Rattus norvegicus: one gene and its partner. The protein of the gene in region 2 purifies or fractionates together with the protein of the main gene of each other region. This does not show direct contact. Links are inferred from orthologs where the notes say so. Each region holds a gene or a part of one and is shown on either strand. Other genes may lie near its edges.

Region 1 (5,136 bases), on a different chromosome or scaffold from region 2:
TCATAATTCAGTGTGTTTCAGGTACAGTTGGTAGATCTGGTCATGACTCAAACTGGTCTTATCTGGCCTACATTTTCCCTTTCTGACTGATGGACATGACAATTTTCTCTTTGGTAAGATCTACTTGCAAAAGTCCAAGGCATTTCTCTAATAAGTCAATATACTAATCCAACCAAAAAATATGCTAATTTGGCCACTCCCCAGTAAATCCTATATCTACTCAAGGTGTAACAGCTCTGCTTTATCTCATAAATTACATCATAGATGGACCCTGGCAGGTCCTCACATATTCCAAAGACAAACTTCAGCCTCCCCATTTTATTATTCAAAATGTATTTGGAATTCCTCCCTCAAAAGTTCCAATGACTCAAATAGGTAAATGTAGATTGATAACAGAATCAAATGTCTGTTTATTATGTCCTTCATATTACAACAGTACTAGCTACCTAATATCAGACTATAGGCCAGGCCTGGTGGGGAATACCTGAATCCCAGCCCTCTACAAACCTCTCTGAGCTAAGCTGGTCTAAATAGTTGAGTACTGAGGCCAGCCAAAGCTACAAAGTTCTGCCTCAAAAATAAATACTGTTCATTTAGGACATCTGCTTTTTCTCACAGTCATTATCTCACAAAATCATCTTTTTGAAAATTCATATTTGGCATCTGACTTCACTGAGTCAGTTACAAGTTTTCCAATGTATTGTTACGAAGTTACAGTACTTTTTCTTTCTGGTTTTGAGACAGGCTCTAATGACAGCCCTGGCTGGCCTGGATTCAGAGATCAGCCTGCCTAGCTTCGAGAATGTGGGAATAAAGGTGTGTGCTATCTGAATGCAGAGCTTTAAAAATCCTAGTGATCTTTAATCCTAGCCCAGTCAGGTAGGCTTTTCCATTTTATGTGTATAAACTACAGATAAAGATTTATAATTTCCTCAAGATAACAAACACTAGTGACTGGAATACTGTGTTTATTTTCCTAAAGGTCCTACGGAGAATATTGACTTTCCTAAGGACTTGGGATGGAAATTGTAGGTTGTACCTCATAGTTAGCCAAGTAATGAACAGGTCAAAAGTTTACAAAGAACCAGGTACCCAATTATTTCTTAAACACAATTCAAGAAATAACATAAAACACTGCTTATGTAGGTGTGAGTACATTAGTATGGGTCTTGAGAGCATCCTAAGCGAAAGCACAGGACTACAGGAGGTGTCCAGAGAGATGCTCCGAGGATGAAGTGCTTATTGTATGAGTCTCCTGACAACCAGAGTTTCATCTCCAGAACCTACCTAAGGATAGAGGGAGAGAACTGACACACAGAGCTGTCCTCTGATCTCTAACAACCATACAGTACACTCCCACATATACACACACTAAGCAAATTAAGGTTGGAGTGGGAGTGACCATGATGAACGTACACTATATGCATGTATGAAATTCTCAAAACATTAATAAAATACATTAAGACCAAAAACCCCCAAAACCCTAGGGGCCAGTAAGCCGGACAACCTCAGTTTGAGCTCCAGAACCCAGACAGAATGGGAAAACTCCCAAAAGTTGTTCTTTTAGCCAATCAGTGATGCTTGCCTTTAATCCTAGCACTCGGGAGGCAGAGGCAAGTGATCCTATTGAGGCCAACCTGGTCTTCAGGGTGAGATCCAGGTCAGTCAGGGCTACACAGAAAAACCCTACCTTGAAAAACAAAAGACAAAAAAATTGTTTTTTTGACCTCTATTGGCATGTCTGCACTCATGTACACATTAGAAAATTTGAAAAACATAACCGTGTAGAGTAAATCTTTCCTGCGAATTAGTCTATAATGTAGCCTCAGCTGGTCTCAACTCACTACATAACCTAGTCTGGGCTAGGTCCTCCTGCCTCAGTGACCCACATCATACTGGGAATGACCAATACCACCAGGCCCAGTTTCAAATGGTTCTTCTAGTGCTTTAGCGTACTGATATTAAGTGCCAGTCGCTGTTTTTAGGCATTTTACATAGTTCATCTCTCAAAAGTACTACCAAAAATGGAGGAAGAAACTTGGTCAAAGAAGTTGTTAAGGTTAGGGAACTAGCTCAAAGTCATACAGCTGTTAGACAGAAATTCAACCCATGGCTTGCTGCATGGTGGCACAAGCCTTTAATTTCATTATTGGGAGTGGGGAGGGTCAGCAGAGGATCTCAGAGATCAAGGCCACCCTGGTCTACAGAATCCAAGGACAGCCAAGGCTACACAGAGAAACCCTGTCTCAAAAACCCAAGAGATAGAAATTCAGGAAGACCTTTTAAGGAACCCCTCAAGTGGTGTTGCAGGCCTTCAATCTCAGTGCAGACAAAGGATTTCTGTGAGTTCGAGGCCAGTTGGGCTACATCGAAAGTTCTGGCCAAGATGGGGTCAATGAGACCCCTTTTAGGGGAGAGGAGCCTTTTCTATTATTATTATTATTCATTCACACAGCCTGAGAACATATGTTTATGTCCCCTCAGGTCATCACTAGCCCCATTTCAGCTAGTGCTTTAGGACAGAATTCTTACTAAAAACACAAACTTGACTCATGTCTTTATCATAGTCCTCATTTTTTATCAATCTGCCTGCCCTGAGCCTCTCCTGGTATTTAAAAACTTCTCAATGCTTTCTTTAATGAAAACTCTTCTACACTCTAAAAGAATGGTAGAACTTTATCGGATGCCACCTGATGTCCTACATGGGAGGTCGGGGCTGGGAGACAGTTCCTCAAGGAAAAAAAAGAAAGAAAGAAAGAAAGAAAGAAAGAAAGAAAGAAAGAAAGAAAGAAAGAAGGAAGGAAAGAAAGAAGAGAGGTGGAAATAGGAAGTCAAGCGTGAGAGAACTGAAGGGAAGGTGTAACATTCAGAAAAGGGAGAAAGGGGGTGAAGTGGTAGGCACTGCTGTCTGGCTCGCATTTCCTGCAGACCAGAGTGTGAACAGAAATTAAAAAATGGGGTTGGGAGTTAAGCCACTGAAACCTGCTAGGTAGCATTTTGTTGGGATTTTTTTTCCCTGTTATGTCTTTGACACTCCATCCAGAAGAAACGGACCCCAAGAGTCACAATGGCGGGTTGGTGCGGGCCCAGCAACACTGCTCTCGCTTCCAGCCTGGGTTGATCCCCTGAAAGCATCGCTCCGAGTCAGTCAATCAGCCGGCGGGAGGAACCACCAGATCCTCTGGACCCCGAGGCCAGGGCCCGGCGTCCGTGTGCTCGGGCAACAGCCACCCCGGCTCCCGTTCCGGTGGACAACCCCGAAACACTCTCACATCTCGCTGCTCACACGGAGCCCGGTCCTTCCCCAGGAGCTGAACGCGTCGGTCACCGAGCAGAAGCCGGGCTGCAGTCAGGGGCTTACCTTTAACAGATTAGACGTCGCCATGTTCTCAACTTGGACTCTCGCGAGACGCGGCGAGACTTGGCGGCTCTCGGGGCCAGGCCTCCTCGAGAGGCCGGGGTTCCCAGCAGGACCCCGCAGGCCGCAGCGAGGGATGCAGGGGACGCCGGAGCGGCGTGCCGTCAGCGCTGAGCTCGTCCCAGGCACCCGTGCTTCCTCGGGCTTTCCCGCTACATGGTCACCCCGGCCTGCCCACGCGAGAGAGCGCATGCAAACGCTTAAAGAGACGCGAGCGGCGAATGGTGGGAAGGGACAGGGAGCCGACCTGACCGGGAAGAGGTAGTATCGACTTCCCCGGGCCTCCCCAACTCGTCTTCGGTTCTGCCTCTGGGGTTGCACCCGCCCCGGCCGCCAGCAACGACTTTAGCTCGGCTTAGGGCCCGCACCTCAGGTTCCGTGGCGGTGTCACGTGACGCGGCGGGCGGGGGCGTGCTCGGGAGCAACCCAGGCGATAGCAAGCCACTGGGTCCCGAGGCCGCGCGGAGGGTGGGAGTGCGCCCTCTGCTGGCTGGAGCCGGAGCAGCCCTCACGCGCTCGCCCCAGATCGGGATTGCTATTCAGAGCTCTGGATTAGATTAGCCTGGAAGGCTTTTTACTGCTGTCCTCCGCAAATGCTGACATGGAGAAGGCGCCCGGTATATTATTTGTTTGGTGACTGATGCACAAACCTGCTGTTATTCCGCTAAAAAAAGAATGCCCGGCTTGTTCAAGAAGTGATTATTAATCTTGGACTCCTTAAGACATATCCTAGAGCACCCTACAGTATTTTCTCCAAATTGCATCGCTTCAGATCACAAATCTCTGATCAAGGGAAGACAATATAATTTATACAGGGTTATCTCCGTTTAGCTGTAATTTAATGCATTACGCAAGTTCCTAGCACTGTTCTTTTTGGGTTTTGTTTGTTTGTTTCTTTGGTTGGTTGGTTTTTGACAGAATTTCTCTATATAGCCCTGGCTATACTGGAGGTGCCTCGGCTCCCAAGTGCTGGAATTAAAGGTGTGGGAAACCACCACCTGGTGTCAAACTTGTTTCTTTGAAACTCATCTCTCACTGTTCCACAATTTTAATCCCAGTACTCAAAGCAGAGGCAGGAGGATCTCTGTAAGATTGAGGGCAACCTGATCTACAGAGCAAGCTCCAGGACAGCCAGGGCTACAAAAAAACCAAAAGCTTCTCAAACATTGCTAATACATTGTTCATCTTAATCTGAGGTGCTAATTAGAAAAGCAGACTTTCAGGCTCTACTCTGAAGGATTTTATTTCATATATTAAGCCTGAAATCTCCTTTTGCCCCAAGCATTCCAGGTAGCTTTGTTTGAAGCGGTCTTTCTATGTTATTCTTGGAAGGCCAAGAATTCTCTATGTAGACCAGGTTGACCTAGAACTCACAGAGATCTGCCTTTCTCTGCCTCCAGAATGACTGGTAGAATTATAGGTATGTGCTCCCCTCCGAAATGGCCAAAATTTCCTTATCTCTGCTTCGGGCAGGGTGTGGTGGAACATACCTTTAATTTCAGCACTCTGACTTCCAGACCAATTAGCGCCACACAATGCTTAAAATGAGTTAAGATCTACTTCTCAGACCTTGAATGCTTTACTTGACCACAATGAGCCTTAGTTCTCTTGTTGGTGAAATTAGTATTAAAACATCTAAATCACAGCGCTTTTGCAAAAATTAAATATAAAGACTGGCGAAATGGCCCAGTTTTAGAGCACTGGTACTCTGGCACTTA
Region 2 (4,857 bases):
CTGGGTCAGAGCAGGAGAATGTACGCAAACAGGGATGCCCAAATGTCTAGGCATCTATCCTGTGCTTTTTCATGTCTTTGAAAACTGTTATGCCTTTAGGTCCCTTGGAATAGTAACATCAGAAATCCCTTCCTGTTTTTATGGTCTAACTTACTGACCCTCATGTACCAATTCTTGGCCATTGGAAAAATTTTCCATTCACTGAGTTTCAACCACAAGCTTTCTGCAGAACATTCTGAGGCTTCTCACACTCAACCTGTATTCATTTCCAACCTTAGCCCCATACCACCAGGCTATGTGGATTAGGCAATGTTACTAACAGTTTTATGTCAAAAGTAGAACCCCTGGAGAGCTAGAGAGACAGTCCGTTGATTTTTTTTAAGGCAGCTTGCCACATAAGCAAGAGGACATGAATTCAGATCCACAGCATCCCATCCCATTAAAAAAACTGTACCAATGTGTTTATAATACCAGCGCTAGGGAGACAGTTACAGGGAGGATCCCTGGCGCGCTATAGTCAGTCATAGTTACTGAATCAGCAAGCTCCAACTTCAGTGGGAGACCCTGTCTTACAAAATTATGGTGCAGAGAGATTCCAGATGACACACGACATTGACTTCTGACGTTCACATATATTCTACATACGGATGCACGTAGACACTCTCGCACAAGCATGTACATATAACAGAGAGAAATAAAACTCTGTACTCCCCCATTTCTCACCACACTAAGCCAGCTCTCCTTCTAGCTTCCCTCTTATCTAGCTCTTCTGGCTAACCTAATTTGAGGCTTAAAACAAACTTCACAATTTAAGATGGTTTCTCCCAATTTGCCTCAATATTGAAACAAATGGCACAATCCAATTTCTCTTGCCTTCAGAATGAAAGTCCTTACTCCATCATATCTGAAGCTTGACCCAGGTTACCAGCTGTACGCTTGGGTTGGCGCAGTGGTTCTTAAGGTATGGGGTCTGAAAATTCCAGTCAACCTCATGTAGAGGCTGCCTGAGGATGAAGATACCCAAGCTTCAACACAGTCTAGTCACTTCCTCAGCAGCCGTACACCTTCCTTTTAACAACGCCTCTAGGCGATACTGAGGCAAGTGAGAACCAATGGATTAAGTCTGTCGTTTTCTGCATAGCTCATGATTTATTCTAACTGGGGTACTATACTAATCTCCTCATACTCTTCACTATGGCCTCAGGACCATCAGTGACTTCCAGTTCCCCAACTCACAAAGCCTAAATCCCTTCACACAGATGTAAAAGCTTTACCATTCTGTGGTGATGGAGAAGGCTCAGTGAAAAACGTTCCTGCTTTGCAAGCATAAGGATCTGAGTTCGGATGCCCAACATTCATGGAAAAACACATGCATAGGCGCACACACCTTTACCCCCACTGCTAGAACAACAGAGGCACATCCTGGGGGCTCACTTGGCATCCAGTCTATCCCAAACAGTGTACTTCAGGTTCTGTGAAACACTGACCCTGTCTCAGAAAGCAAGGTAGAAAGCAGTAGAAGATACCCAATTTGACCTCTGGCCTCTACCTACACATTCAACTATAACATATGTGCTGACTTTCATGTACACACACACACACACACACATTTCACCATCCAGCTCCATCTCTCCAAATTAATTCTCATTAAATTGACTCCTCGAGATACTCTACATCCTAGCTGGAACAACCTGTCCACTTTCTAAGCAGCATACCAACCATCCAGGAAAAGGGGGCTAGTTCTCTCTCCACATACAAAAAAAATAAGAACACAAGACTTTGCTGCAAAATACCTATTTGGAACGCTACTGAATTATTGTTTCCAACAGTGATTGGATTGCTGCATTGAAATACTCAACAAGCCTGTTTTAAGTGATTCTTGATTCCAGTTTACCTTTCTACTATACTAAATGTGTACTCAATTCATGCTAATTAATTCAGTTTTGTCTGTGTATGGAAGCCCCACTCACCCTGTACATTTTGGGGGGGAAATGGGTAAGTAAAAAAACAAACAAAAAATGTGCAATCCTGTCACCTCAACCAGAGAGGGAAGGCATATCGCATTGTCTACTTTCTGTTGTTTTCCTTTTACAAAGCTGCACAGAAAGACATCATTAAGTCCTGGAGGCCTTTCGAACCTGTTTATTGTGCTTCTAATAGAAAAGTGTTGTGGGAAGCCTAACAGTGTTCTAAATGTGATACTGTCTCTTTGTATGCTTAGGCCCAGAATCCCTTCATCTGGAAACTGCTGAATGTTCCAGAAGAATGAGAGTGAATGAAAGTGGGAGAGTCTTTATTAGCCAATGCATCAGCCTAGAGGAAATCTTTGCATAGTTTTAAAAGTCTCATTTTTAAAGGCAATCAACCAGCCAATATCCTTGAGAAACTCAGATTAACTAAATATGAAATATCTAAAGGAACTTTAATTAAGAGAATTTTTTAGCAGCTACAGTGTTCCTATTAAGACTATGTGGTACACACAGAGAGAGAGAGAGACGGGAGGGGTGAAGGAGGGAAGAAGCAAGCAAAAGAGTGAGAGAGCGAGAGAACGAGAGGGAGAGAGAGAGAGAGAGAGAGAGAGAGAGAGAGAGAGAGAGAGAGAGAGAGAGCCCTGTAATCTCAGCACTTCAGAGGCTGAGACAAGAGGATAATGACTTATGACTTTAAGGTCAACCTGAACTACACAGGAGAGTGAAACAGAGCTACTTATAAGTAACTCTTAAACCTCTTATTTAATAAGTAATACACCTGACCCACAAAAGAGTGAGTGACTTCTTGGTGCAAAAGTTTTCACCACTAGAAAATGCTCTGTGATAATAAAATTTGTCTCACCTTTATGATGCCACAGACAAAGGTACTTTTTTGAATAATCACATAGAGGATGAAGACTAACAAACTCTGGACTTCTGTGGACACCCCACAGAAAGACCCACTGACAGAGTCCAGCTCCCTGCTCTCTCTTGAGCACATTAACCACCCTCCCAAGCACTCCCATTTCCCATCTTCTATGACTCACCCCCCATCAATGGGTTTGAAAGAAATCTGAGGTGAGGAGAGCCTCCTGGCTTGTCACTCCTGCCCCCTTGTTCGCCATCCATGTTTATCTTCCTAGGCCAGCAAACTCTTATGTTCCACTTCGGTTGCTCAGGAAAACTCAAATGCCATGCTTCTGGTGCCCCTGGGAAATTCCAGCTCTGTGGTTGGTCGAACTGCACACGTCCTGGTCCAGGCAGTCTGCAGCAGAGAACAACACAGGCAGGGTAATGTGAGCACTACCTGTGGTCAAACAGATTCTCATGCAGACAGCCACATACACACACACACACACACACACACACCACCACCACCACCACCACCACCACCACCACCACCACCACCACCACCACCACCACACTCCACCTAGCGTGCTGGAGACTGGACAAAGTACACAACAGCCCCCCGAGTCTCAAGTCTGAAAAGTTGCTGATACCACGCCCTTTCCTATAACTGAGACCAATCAAGGAGCAAGCCTTAGCGTTTATCAGGAAGGAAATCCACACTATGTAACTTTTGGAGAATGGAGGCAGCCGGGTTGTTATATAGGAAGAAGTTGTTACAGCAGCAGAGATCTGTTTGCTACTTTGGGGACTAAGACAAGCCTCAGCATCCAGGAGCTGAGAAGGCTGCTTTTGCAGAAGCTCAGAGAAACTGCTCGTACAGGAACATGCACAGCCCAGCCTGGCCATCTGCACATGTGTTTTCAATTTTGCTGGGAGTGTCTTATGGAAAAATGTGTCTGTATGTTACAAAAAGTGCAAGGGGTAGAGGTGGGAGAGGGATAGAAAAAAATCGTTTTCCAATGGAGGTGGGGCTGGGGGAGCATCCTGCAAGTTAATTCCTTGCCCATTTTTGTCCTTCCTGAACACTTTTGGATTTAACTTACAAATAAATGCTGAATGGTTGCATGGAGAAGAATGTTCGACAGGGTCACCACAGGTGTGAGAGAGCTGCTATCTTTCCTTATGAAGGCTACTGCTTTGTTAAGGTACCCTCAGTCTGCCTCGGTGAATGGTATTTCAATATGGGTGACTTCTTTCCATTTTCCACCAGACTCGCAGGTGCTGGTTTCAGTCAATCACTCATGTTGCCACCATCCATGGGTTTGAAAGGAGCCTGGTGGGACCAGAGCCTCCTGGTCTCAACAGCTTGCTGCTTTTCCTGCCAGCCCCCCCTCCCAGTCTATTCACCATCCAAGGCACTCTCCTACACCAAGAAACTTCATGCTCCACTTCACTTGCTCAGGAAAGACTCCCACTTTTCCTCTCTTGCAGGTTGAAGAGAATGCCTTATCCTCTGAAGCCTCAGAGCTGCTCTCAAGCCCCAGCTCCCTTCCAAACGCTGTAGATTTGTTTCTCTTTGGGATGTTTGGCTTCTCAATTGAAACATTTATAACTATTTTTTCAACCGCTTTGCGTGCAAGCAAAGGTGTGCTTGCTTGCTTTGTTCAGACTGAGTATGACTGACTGTGAGGGTGGCCTTGACTTCACTATATAGCCAGGCTAGCCTCAAACTTGTTGCAAACGTGCCTCCATTCCCAGAGGGCTAAGATTACACGTGTGCACTGACACATCTTACAGTGCCTTTCATAATTTTAACGCATTCCTTTGTGCATACACACTTACCCATGCACAGTTTTACTCCAGCTTAGTTAGATTAACATCCCGTCTAATAGTTTTTACACTTAGTCTGGAACGCTTTCCACTGTCTCACATGTAACTATACTAATTTCTTTATTCTCCACTGTATTTCACATTGTGCCAAAAGCAATTCCTTGCCCGGAAGTAGTGGTACACACCTTTAATCCTAGCACTCCAGAAG

The links. The genes of interacting proteins can lie anywhere in the genome.
Region 1: the proteins of Asb9 (region 2) and Cul5 purify together in Homo sapiens (affinity purification with mass spectrometry; 6 studies listed by BioGRID and IntAct, counting the BioPlex papers as one, with this or other methods). This does not show direct contact. The link is inferred for Rattus norvegicus from reciprocal best matches to the Homo sapiens genes ASB9 and CUL5.

The regions. Positions count from the first base shown.
Region 1 is NC_086026.1:62,959,044-62,964,179, forward strand, and holds the start of Cul5 (cullin-5), read right to left. Parts: upstream 3,386-5,136; coding exon 3,362-3,385; intron 1-3,361. UniProt on the Homo sapiens protein: Core component of multiple cullin-5-RING E3 ubiquitin-protein ligase complexes (ECS complexes, also named CRL5 complexes), which mediate the ubiquitination and subsequent proteasomal degradation of target proteins.
Region 2 is NC_086039.1:33,621,260-33,626,116, forward strand, and holds the start of Asb9 (ankyrin repeat and SOCS box protein 9), read right to left. Parts: upstream 3,099-4,857; coding exon 3,017-3,098; intron 1-3,016. UniProt on the Homo sapiens protein: Substrate-recognition component of a cullin-5-RING E3 ubiquitin-protein ligase complex (ECS complex, also named CRL5 complex), which mediates the ubiquitination and subsequent proteasomal degradation of target proteins.